Oryzias latipes: one gene and its partners. The protein of the gene in region 1 purifies or fractionates together with the protein of each later gene. This does not show direct contact. Links are inferred from orthologs where the notes say so. Each region holds a gene or a part of one and is shown in the gene's direction. Other genes may lie near its edges. The genes, in order: tripartite motif-containing protein 16-like, ppm1a and satb1.

The links.
Region 2: the proteins of tripartite motif-containing protein 16-like (region 1) and ppm1a purify together in Homo sapiens (affinity purification with western blotting; 3 studies listed by BioGRID, with this or other methods). This does not show direct contact. The link is inferred for Oryzias latipes from reciprocal best matches to the Homo sapiens genes TRIM47 and PPM1A.
Region 3: the proteins of tripartite motif-containing protein 16-like (region 1) and satb1 purify together in Homo sapiens (affinity purification with mass spectrometry; 4 studies listed by BioGRID and IntAct, with this or other methods). This does not show direct contact. The link is inferred for Oryzias latipes from reciprocal best matches to the Homo sapiens genes TRIM47 and SATB1.

The regions. Positions count from the first base shown.
Region 1 is NC_019864.2:31,029,894-31,034,180, forward strand, and holds tripartite motif-containing protein 16-like, read left to right. Parts: upstream 1-1,380; 5' UTR 1,381-1,579; coding exon 1,580-3,238; 3' UTR 3,239-3,720; downstream 3,721-4,287. Other genes in the region: washc4 (WASH complex subunit 4), read left to right, coding at 4,284-4,287. UniProt on the Homo sapiens protein: E3 ubiquitin-protein ligase that mediates the ubiquitination and proteasomal degradation of CYLD.
Region 2 is NC_019880.2:12,122,395-12,126,043, reverse strand, and holds part of ppm1a (protein phosphatase 1A), read left to right. Parts: coding exon 1-215; intron 216-308; coding exon 309-426; intron 427-3,467; coding exon 3,468-3,579; intron 3,580-3,649. UniProt on the Homo sapiens protein: Enzyme with a broad specificity. Negatively regulates TGF-beta signaling through dephosphorylating SMAD2 and SMAD3, resulting in their dissociation from SMAD4, nuclear export of the SMADs and termination of the TGF-beta-mediated signaling.
Region 3 is NC_019874.2:30,130,593-30,134,241, forward strand, and holds part of satb1 (DNA-binding protein SATB1), read left to right. Parts: intron 1-668; 5' UTR 669-696; coding exon 697-907; intron 908-2,330; coding exon 2,331-2,507; intron 2,508-2,843; coding exon 2,844-2,970; intron 2,971-3,649. UniProt on the Homo sapiens protein: Crucial silencing factor contributing to the initiation of X inactivation mediated by Xist RNA that occurs during embryogenesis and in lymphoma.

The DNA.
Region 1 (4,287 bases):
CTGCTTCCAAAAGCTCATAATAATAAACATAGTGACGCCATTCTGTTCAGTGAAAAAGTAAGAATCTTCCCGTTCTTCCAGAAACGTCCTGTGTTTATCTTTATATTCTGAATTTCACAATTTTCACCATGAGGGTAACAGTCTGCAGCAGCACATCTAATGTTTATGTGTTCTTATATATACACTTATGTGTCGGGAGCAAAACACACACACTGCCAAATTACTTTTATTATTATTCATTTTTAATACCCTCTGATGGTGAGAGTGTGGTTTAAGAGGGAAAATTTATGAAACGAGGCGCAGTATATAGAAAACATGATGAGACGCAAAGAGCTGCACGCTCGTTGGCCAAGAACCGCGTGCCGCCCGAGAGCCGCGTGTTCACCACCCCTGGTCTAAGGTATTTCTATGTAAAACAGTGTTGGAAAAGATCTGTTCGCTTTTCAGATCTTTCCATGCGTGTTCAAGAGTCGGGAGAGATGGAAGCAAAGCAAATGGTTCGACCGGATAAAACACAAAGTTTTGTTTCCCTAACAAAAGTTCTAGAACAGATTAAAACATTTTAAAAGCAGATATCTGGGTTCTCAGTCTATAAAATCTGCAAATGCACAAAAACTACATGCGACTTCAGATGCAGCCAAGCTGAGGACAAAGAAAAAGTTCATCAGAAGAAAGTTTTATCTTGGCGGCCGAATCTCCTCCCCTGGACACACGGACTCGCTGACAAAGGGGCCCGCCTGCTTCCGCCGGCCCATATTTGGAGATGCAGCCTCTGGATCTGAAAAACGGTTACCCCATCTCCCCACAGTAATTCAGCTGGACAGCAGAACTTCATCACAGGTACTTTTATGGCTCGTTTCCGAGGGTTTGGATCTTCAATCCAGATGGTTGAAAAGTGGTCCATGACTAATTTACTGCTTCACACAAAAGGTTCGGTCTTCTCAAAGGGGGGTCTGTATCTACAGTCATAAATCCCCCCACTGGAATGCCAGAGGAGGTAAGCCTCTAGGGTTCAAAAAGAGTTCACGACACACTAAAGATTCAAACCTCAAGTAGTAAAAAAGAATAAGATAGAAAACATACATTTCTTCAATAGTGACAGAATTTGTCTGGCAGTTTTTTTCCAGTGACTCATAAACGTGTTTTGGGCCTGTGTGGACGTGTTAGTTCTTAAAAATCTGACAAAAGCAGAGTAACGTGCTCTGCAAATAGTGTTCCTTCTAAAACTGGAAACACCAGCAACCAGTGAGCACGTTCAGACTGAAAGATAGCAGGATTCGGCAGCAGAAACAGTTAAAGTCAGAGCTGCACAGCAGCAACAGTCTGAGCTGATGAGACACAGAGCGTTTGACAAATATGCTGTTTGGTTTCTATCCTGATCTAACAGCCATCTTCTCTAAAGTCCCCCTCATCCTCATCTGCAGCTCCTCCTCTGTCATGATGGGCGTCACCAACAGGAGGAGAAGAGAGAAGCTGATTGGCTGAACTCACAGTGAAACCATCTGATTGGAGGATCAGAGTCATCCGGTCTCTGAGGAAGTGAAACTCTCAGAGAGAGTCTGTGTGTCTGAGAGGAGAAATGGCGCAGAAAGGAGCAGATGTGGATGAAGAAAGCTTCTGCTGTTCCATCTGTCTGGATCTGCTGAAGGATCCGGTGACTATTCCCTGTGGACACAGCTACTGCATGAAGTGTCTTCAAGGATTCTGGGATACAGAGGAGAAAGTCCCCAGCTGTCCTCAGTGCAGGAAGACCTTCACACCGAGGCCTGTTCTGGTGAAAAGTTTCACGTTAGCAGCTTTAGTGGAGCAGCGGAAGAAGAGCGGACTCCAAGCTGCTCCTGCTGGTCTCTGCTATGCTGGACCTGAAGATGTGGTCTGTGACGTCTGCACTGGAAGAAAACTGAAAGCCATCAAGTCCTGCTTGAGCTGTCTGGCCTCTTACTGTGAAGAACACCTTCAGCCTCATCTGAAAGCAGCTGCATTGAAAAAACACAAGCTGGTGGAACCCTCCAAGAATCTGCAGGAGAACATCTGCTCCCGTCATGATGAGGTGATGAAGATGTTCTGTCGCACTGATCAGAAGAGCATCTGTTATCTCTGCTCTGTGGAAGAACACAGAGGCCACGACACAGTCTCAGCTGCAGCAGAAAGGACTGAGAAGCAGAGAGAGCTGGAGGAGAGTCAGCAACAAATCCAGCAGAGAATCCAGGACAGAGAGAAAGAGGTGAAGCTGCTTCAACGGGAGCTGGAGGCCATCAATCACTCTGCTGATCAAAGCGTGGAGGACAGTGAGAAGATCTTCACTGAGATGATCCGTCTCCTCCAGAAAAGAAGCCGTGATGTGGAGCAGCAGATCAGATCCCAGCAGCAAACTGAAGTGAGGCGAGTCAAAGGTCTTCAGGAGGAGCTGGAGCAGGACATGGCTGAGCTGAAGAGGAGAGACGCTGAGCTGAAGCAGCTCTGGCTCACAGAGGATCACAGCCACTTTCTGCTCAACTACCCCTCACTGCCCCCACTCAGTGAGTCCACCCCCTCAGCCAGCATCCATGTCCGTCCTCTGACATACTTTGAGGATGTGACAGCAGCTGTGTCAGAGCTCAGAGACGAACTGCAGGACATTCTGAGAGAGGAATGGACAAACATCTCACCGACGGTTTCTCTTGTGGACGTTTTACTGTCAGAACCAGAATCAAAGAGCAGAGCTGACTTCCTCAGATATTCACGTCAAATCACACTGGATCCAAACACAGCATACAGACAACTGTTACTGTCAAAGAAGAACAGAAAGGTGAAATATATGAGAAAACCTTGGTGTGATTCTGGTCATCCAGACAGATTTACTTATTATCCTCTGGTTCTGAGTAGAGAGAGTCTGACTGGACGTTGTTACTGGGAGGTGGAGTGGAGAGGAGAACCTATTTGTGTAGCAGTCGCATACGACAACATCAGCAGGTCTGGAAGAGAAAGTGAATTTGGTTTTAATGATAAATCTTGGTCATTAGATTGTTCTTCAAACAGGTTCTCATTTTACCACGACAGCATAGCAACCTCCATCTCAGCTCCTGGTTCCTCCAGAGTAGGAGTGGACCTGGATCACAGAGCAGGTGTTCTGTCCTTCTACAGCGTCTCTGGAAGCATGACTCTCCTCCACAGAGTCCAGACCACTTTCACTCAGCCGCTCCATGTTGGACTGTGGGTGGGTTCTGGATCCACAGCAGAGTTGTGTAAAGTGAACTAGTTTCAGAAAGGAGTGAAATGTTTGTTTTCAGTGATTTCATCTAGAACTAAACTTTTGAACTGTTCAGATTCTGTGGAGTCATGTTTGTAGTCAGAAATGGAGAGAAAGGAAAATCTCTAGAATGTGGATTGGAGACATTTTGGAATATGAATGTCAAACTTTTGGGAGTCCAATCTGTTTTCTTTGAACTTTGGGATTCCAATGGTTTTGTGTTGTTGTCATGGGAACTGAAGGAAGCTGCAACACAAATGGAGTCAGTGAGGTCACCATCCCAGACTTTCTCTGGTTTGTTCTCCACAGAAACACCAAGAGAAGAAGCTGAAGGAGAAGATTGTGTTTGTGGAAAGAAGAACATTTAAAACTTTGTGTTCTTTCTGCTTCATTTGACAACTTTGAATTGAAGATTTGTGTTTTCATGTCTCTGTTCTTCAGAGAAAAGTGGTTTCTGATCATGTAACAATAAAAATCTCCTGTTTCCTGAACCACAGTGGTAATTGAACCCTCACACTGATGTCCAACATGCAGACTCCTGGTCTTCAGCGGTCCAACAGGAAGTTTGTTGTTACGTGCATGCATGCTGTGCATGTGCACTCCAGTGACGGGCAGTGAAGTTTGTGGCCGGGGGTGCACTTTCAGATTCAGTTTTACTCATTTATGTGCTGACTACTGATTGTGTTGCTTTTCTTACTCTTTCAAAACACAAACAGTAACAAGAACATATAGACCAGGGAGTAAAGTAACATGTATGAATGTTGTCCATCTACACACACTTAAGGATTTATTCCTGCAACATGTTTTGTGCTTTTAATTGTTTTTCTCTTACCTTAAAATAGAACAAACAACGTTTTTTTATTCCTCTTCCACATTATTGCGTTGGAAAGCACTTTGAATGTATTTGACAGGGGGTCTGTATTGCACACCAGGTTTATTTACCCTGGACTACATTACCCATGAGCACCTGCTGTGCAAATCACAAGATCTGTCATGAGATCCCGTAGCTTCATTTTTTAACAACACCGCGTTAGTTCTGGTCAGTTCTGGTACCATGG
Region 2 (3,649 bases), on another chromosome or scaffold:
GCAAAGGCCCCACAGAGCAGCTCGTCTCTCCAGAGCCTGAAGTTTATGCAATAGAAAGAAGTGAGAAGGACGATGAATTCATCATACTTGCTTGTGATGGCATCTGGGATGTTATGGGGAATGAGGAAGTGTGTAGCTTTGTGAGATCAAGATTAGAGGTTACGGATGATCTTGAAAGAGTCTGCAATGAAATTGTGGACACCTGCTTGTACAAGGTATGACACGTTCACAAAACTTTCACTTGCATGTTCCACTACTCAGTCTTATACCAGACTTTCATTTAATGTATTGTTCTTTATTTTCCGCAGGGAAGTCGAGATAATATGAGTGTTGTGTTAATCTGCTTTCCTGGGGCCCCAAAGGTATCTCAAGAAGCAGTGATGCGAGAGATGGAACTGGACAAGTTCTTGGAGGCCAGAGTTGAAGGTAGTTATGAGAAACTTACATTTGTCTGAACTAACCAGGTCTATTTAAGTAGCATTTTAGTACTTGCCTACTGTATGGAAACTTGTTTGAGCATCTTTATTTGTGTAGGCTTTTTAACATGGCAACAACTGAGGCATGCAATGTTGAGACATAAATGTATTTATTGTATTTGCACTTTTGATTGTATTTTACCCTGTTAAATCGTATGTGCTGCTAAACATGCTGGCACTTGCACTGAAAAACAAAAGTATTGTCAGTAACTTTCACTTTAGGCAAACTCTCACTACAAAATTTTCACGTAAATATGAGAACCCTGTTAAATCAGTCACATTTATTGCTTGGGTAAGATTTGTTTCCAGCATAACACATAGCAAGAGATCTGAATTCTTCAGACTAGCTAAACAATTATTTTGAGGATTTGGAAAGCCTTTTAATAACTGAGGGTACTAGATTAGTACCACCTGGACAATGCAGACTATTTTTGTTTTAATGCGCTTTTTTAATGTTGTGAGTCTACGCAATGTTTTATCATCACAATAAGTCATTTAACATTAAAATTCATTCAGTTTGTCAGATATAAAAAATCTGCTTGTTTATTGCTGTTGTTTTCATTATTAGCAGGTCTTTTGAAATTGCTTATGTATTATTGTGGAATGATTCATTTCTCTTTCTGCAAGCTATGCATGATTCATTTTACTTTTAGTGTAAAATCTTGACTTGCCTATAGTGAGTGGACAAGAGCATTTTGAAAGACAGATCATTTAAAAGTATTTCTACACCAGAAAATGTTATAAATAGAAGTAAATATTTTATTACTAAATGTTTTTGCTCATCTCTTAGGGCTGAGGATTTTTTTTAATTTGCAAGATCATTGTGCTACAATAGACCCCTTTTTTTTGTTTTTTTTTGTAAGTGCAAAGCTGCACTTATGTTCTGGTCACATTACACATAAGAAAGTACCATATCCAGGCCAGTAGAGCTGTGGTTCCAGACCCCTGTGCCATGCACCTGTACCGGCCTGTGGGAGAGTTGGTACCGGGGCACAGAGGAAAAAAAACAAGAACCCACAACTGTTCGTTTATAATCTTATTCCTAAAGAAGTTTTATTTTGGGAAAATAGGGGATTCTCTCCACAACCGTCTTATTCTTGTTGTAGGTCAAAAATCCATCCGCCACCTTCCTAAAGCGGCTGAACCGGCCGCTAAATTGAAACCCCCAAGTTAGCAAAGTTTAAAAAAAAAAAACGGATTTGGATCAGTGCTGAAATAAATCCGTAAGGAAACCGAAGATGAGCCTTCAATGTCAAAGAGAATAGAGAATGTATGAGTTTAACCTGCTATGCTAGACTTTAAAACATCATTGCCCACAAAAGCTACTCAACACAAATGTCAACAGCAGAACACAAGTGTCACAGAGAAACTATTTTAGTTGTGTGGATCTGATTTAAGATCGAAGTCCATCGAGACGACTGTTGTTGTGATTTTGGGCTATACAGATAAAATTGAATTGAATTGAATTGAATTGAATTTAGATTTCTGGATGAAATGCTAAACTCCTAACTGCCAGCATGTTGGGTACGTTAAATATCACCCAACAAGGTTCACTGCTGCAGGAGCAAACCAGAGTGCCACTTGCTTTTGTAAATGACCATCCTGTTGTTTTCTCCGCTCGCAAAAACAAGCTGGTTCTAACAGTGTTTAAAGTATCCAGTTTAAGTAACAGGAAAGACGTAGATTATTTTTGTCACATCCTAATAGTAATATTCATCCAGAATATTGCTGCACCCCTTTCTGCTACAACAGCTTAAGCTCATCTGGCCGTGCTTTTTGCAGATGTTTATAAGAAGGTTTGACCGATCTTTAAGAAGCTTAAGGGCAAACACTGATGTTCAATAGTTAGGTTTCCTACTCATGGTCTTTGGTCTAATTCACCCCAAACCCAAAGGTCTTCAACATGGTTTAGGTCAGGAATTAGTCCAGATTTTTCAGGGCACCAAACTGGCTCATCTTTATGAACTTTGCTTTATGCATTAGCATGGAGTTGTCCAAAATCTCTTGCTGTGCTTAAGCACTGATTTTTTGTTTTTTTTTGTTTTACTTTTTTTTATTGCAATGAATCTAAAAGGCCAAGCCACGTTTCTGTTAAACAACCCTTCACTATAATTCTTTCCCAGCTCTGGTCCTTGGACACGCTGTTCTGGATATATTTAGTATTTCATGCTGAAGCTCACCTGTTTCTTATGACATTCTCAGGCTTCTGCTGAGCTTGTTGAGGAGTTGGATGTGGTGTGTGTTTAACAAGTGCAACATGGAAAAAATGCAGACCACTGTGCCCTGAGGACCAGTGTTGAAAAACACTGTTTAAACTGCCCCTCCACCAAAGTCGACATTTTGCATTTTGATAATAGTCATTCTCTGGCAACTACGAAGTGGAAAAGTTTGTCACTCTAGAGAAAGTATCTCCACTGCTCTAGAGTCCAGTTCTTTAAGCTGCTGCGTCATACAAAGCATTGTCCTTCATGATGCATGGTTTGAATGCAGTTGGTCAGCTATAGAAACGCATTCCATGAGTATGTGTTGTTTCTGAACTTGGAGGTCTGCACGGATCTATTCTGTCTAAAGTTGGTCATCTCTGCACATTAGGCACCTCAGACCTGCTGATCTTGTTCTGTCAGTTTACGTGCCCTACCTCTTTGTGTCCGAGTAATGGTTCCCAATTGCTTTCATTCTGCGTTGACAGTGGAATATTTAGTTGTGTTCAAATGTGATGACAAAGCTCCTCATTGTTTTATAAATTGACATGCGCATTTAATTCTTCCAGCTCACCCGATAAAGTCAACAGACAGTAAATAATAGAATTTCCAGACATCTGTTAAATGGCAAAACCAATGTGTTTTGTTGGGGGGAAAAATGCTCTGGTGTTTAAAAAAAAAGTGCTTAGTGTATAATATTTTTAAGCTTCTCACACAAACATACATGTAAATAAATGTGTATTGGAAAATAAATCTGTTCAATTTTTTTTTTTTTTACAATTCCTTTCAGAGATCCTTAAAACTGAGTGGGATAAAGGTACTCCTGATTTGGTCAATGTTATGCGAATGTTAACCTCTGAGACCATACCAAACCTCCCTCCGGGTGGAGAGCTGGCAAGCAAGTACGTCTTTTAAATTTTTAATATTAACTTATTTGACAGTTTTTCTTAAAAGTGAATTCAGTATCTGTAA
Region 3 (3,649 bases), on another chromosome or scaffold:
GCGGGGCGTTTCGTCCCTGAGCACCTGTGGGTGAAGCATCTCTCCCATCCACCCCCTGCCCCTCCTCACTTCAACTTTTTTTCATGACGGGTCCCATGAGTCAGCAGCTGCGCGCGCGCCCATGCAGGCACGCGCCCACATACTTTACAAAGTTGTGAACTACTTTGTCTCCTCCCCAGGCCTTCCACAGGTCAACATTTCATCCAAAACCAAATGTATTTATATATATAAATATAGATGTATAAAAAAATTTGAATTTAGAAGTTTTTAAAAGTATAGCTTAAAAAAACGACTAAATGATTGTAAATACATAAACAGGGAAACAATAAAGGGGTTTATTATAAAAGTTTTTAATAAAAATAATGATTTGGACTTAGAATTTTAAGTTGAAGATTTTTCGTCCACATTCATAATCTTAAATCCAAAATATCATTAAAAATACTTTTTCTGCTTTGGAACCATCCAAATTCTTCACTGAGAAACTGAGTTTGTGTTTTAAATTCTATTTTTAAGCGCCACGTTTGCTGGATAACTGTAATACTTTCCTCTGACTGAATGTGGAGATTCGCTCTTCTCAGGTGGAAGATGTTCTCAGAGCTCCACAGCCTCACGCCTAGCCAAAATCCCACCCATCAGGTGTTTTCTTTAATGCTTCTTTCCCTCCCCAGGTGATAGTGAGCAGAGGCGCTGAGAAGGATGGAGCATCTCAGCGAGACGTGTTTGGGCAAGGAGAACTCGGAGCTGGTCAACAGCATGGCGGAAGCCAAGGCCCCGCCGGCCAAGCTGCCCCGGCTGGAGCAGAACGGCAGCCCGCTGGGGCGGGCCCGACTGGGCAGCAACGGGGCCAAACTGGCGGGGGTCCCGTACAAGCCCAGCGGCCACCTGCTGAAGACCTTCCACAAGAGAGGTAAGACGGCGCTGCAGGAGATCGCGTCTGTTTCTCCTCGTGTGTCTTAAACGAAGAGGCGCCATAAAACCGTCACGGCGGAAAATCTGCAAATTCTCATCTTTTTACTGCTTAATTAATGACACAGGCATAATAATGAAGTTTTATTGTGCATAATTCTGCTCTTACAGAAAAAAGACATTTCTAGGAAGTTGCTTTTCTCCTCAGAAAAGTAGAATATTTTGACGTTGGTGCATTGAAACCAAAGCTAGGGGAAGGTTCTGCTATGCTGCCGTTTGTTTGCAGTGGGCAGAAGTTTCTTTTAGGAGCTTTGACAAAGTTTTATTATTAATATAAGTCATCTTCTTGAGGAAGAAGAAGGCGTCAGTCGAGTCTGTTTTTACGATTATGGTTCTGTTTTTAGTGGAAGTGAGATTCAGAAGTCAGTTCTGGAGTCGTAAAAGTTCTTGGCTGCTGGAGCTTTTTTGGTCTGTTGTTTTTTTTTTTTGGCCAATAGGGAGACAGGAGCTCCTGGAATGTGTCGCTGTGTCCTCAGATGGGTCATTTCTCCACTTTATTTTTTTCGTTTTTTTTATGCATCTGGGAGAAACGTCCGCTATTCCCCCCCCCCCATCCTTTCAGCTGTTTCTCCAGCATCCAGGCTGGCAAAGAGGGGGCGGGCTCACCTCTCAGGCTTCGCACAGGAGCCACAGTTGGTCCGAAATAATAATATCTGCCACGGCGCTCTCTGGGCTTTTGGAAACAAAGCCAGTATTGACCCCCCCCCCCCCCCCCAATGAACCAGCACAGCAGTCTTTATTGTCAGATCTGTATCTATCAGAATCAGGGGGGAGAAAAGCAGCCCTTTCAGCACATTCCTCTGCATTTGTTGGCCCGTCGATTGTTTGGTCGGAGCCCTGCGCATCTTCTGGAATGCCTAGGATCCGAAAATATTGGGATCTTTTTTTTTTGGTCAGCAGAGACGATAAACAAGTAGAAATCTGTCTGACAGCAGGACGTAAACACGGTTTCTTTATTCGGGGAGACGCTTTTCACTTTCCCTATTAAAACTTCTCTAACACAAAAGCACATTGGGTGAAATTTGCAGAGTAAACGTTCATTTTCTGGACCAGGACTCTTCATTTTTTAGTCGACCGAGCTGCTGGTGACTCCGTTTAGCAGGAGAGGCCTTTGCTTTGGGAGGAAAAGGCTTCAACGGTGATGTTTCCCCGTTTTTACCGTGTTTAACCCCAACGCGAGGTGAATTCTGCCTGACGTTGGATTCCTGGTGCTGATGGGAATGGGAGAGTCTTTGCACCGGAACTGCACTCTGAAAGATCATTTCTCCTCACCTAACTCGATCATCGGGCTAAATATGACTCCCTGTGAGCGGCTGACGGTCAGAGTCCTCACCCCCAGAACCCGGGTGTTGCCGTGTCTGCAGGCAACATGCTGCCGGTGTTCTGCGTGGTGGAGCACTACGAGAACCCCATGGACTTCGACAGCAAGGAGGAGCACGCCGAGTTCGTCCTGGTGCGCAAGGACATGCTGTTCAACCAGCTCATCGAGATGGCTCTGCTGTCGCTGGGCTACTCTCACAGCTCCGCCGCCCAGGCCAAAGGTGACTCCTCCCACCCCCTCCACCATAACTGCAACACACGCTGACAGATATCACACAGTGGCCTGCATGTGTGTATCTCCATGCACACGTGTTGTGTAGGTGGAGGCAAGACTGTAATTGCACAGGAACACATGCAGTTTGAGCTTTGCTATTTTAAGATGCATATTTGTGCGCGTAGTCCATCCCTATCGCACACACGCACACACACACACGCACGCAAACCCTGACTCACACCTCTCCCCTGCTGACATCACAGCACGCCAGTGTTGCAGTTTTAAATAAAGCGCCGATGGCGAGCTCCGCTCCGGCCCACGTTGACGCGCTTTCACCCCGCAGGTATGATTCAGGTGGGGAAGTGGAACCCCGTCCCGCTGTCGTACGTGACGGACGCGCCGGACGCCACAGTGGCCGACATGCTGCAGGACGTTTACCACGTGGTCACGCTCAAGATCCAGCTGCACAGGTGAGGAGCACGCCGTGTTTACATGCCTGAAATCAGAGGATGAAACCTGCTAAAGGCTTCTCAAAAACCTTAAAGGAAGAAAACTTCCCATAATCCAGATTAAGACGTTTGATTTTTGACATCCTGGTTCATTTGAAAATCCCCAACTTTCCTGCTGAGCAGTTCTTTGTGGTGTTGAGGACATAAAACACATAAACCTTCAGAATAAAAGTCTTAATTTCTGCAGTCGACTTGGCTTTCAGAGTAACGCGTCTTAAGATCCTTAAGCCGTTTGTTGCTTAAACTAACATTTGATAATTCTGATAATATTGCGTATCAATCATGTGCATTTTTAGCGGTTACATTAATGCCAAACAAAGAGTTTTAAATAACTGCAAACACAGAGCTAAACCTGGAGGGAAGATGTGGGCGGTTGTTTGGTCTTTGATATAAATGTCCAACATTCCTGATTCTTCCTCTGAAGTTTCAAAAATTCAGGAAAAAATCTGCAGCTGAAAAAGTTTAAATGGGAAAAACTCAAGAAGACATAAAATAAGATGTAAAAAAAACCAAGACAAGACATGGAAATTGTCAACTTTTCAGGATGGGAGGAGCTTCATGAGAATGAAAATCTCACGTGAAGCTCCTCATCACCTGATTCAAAAAGCACGGTCAGTTAATTGTTGATACCAGCACATGC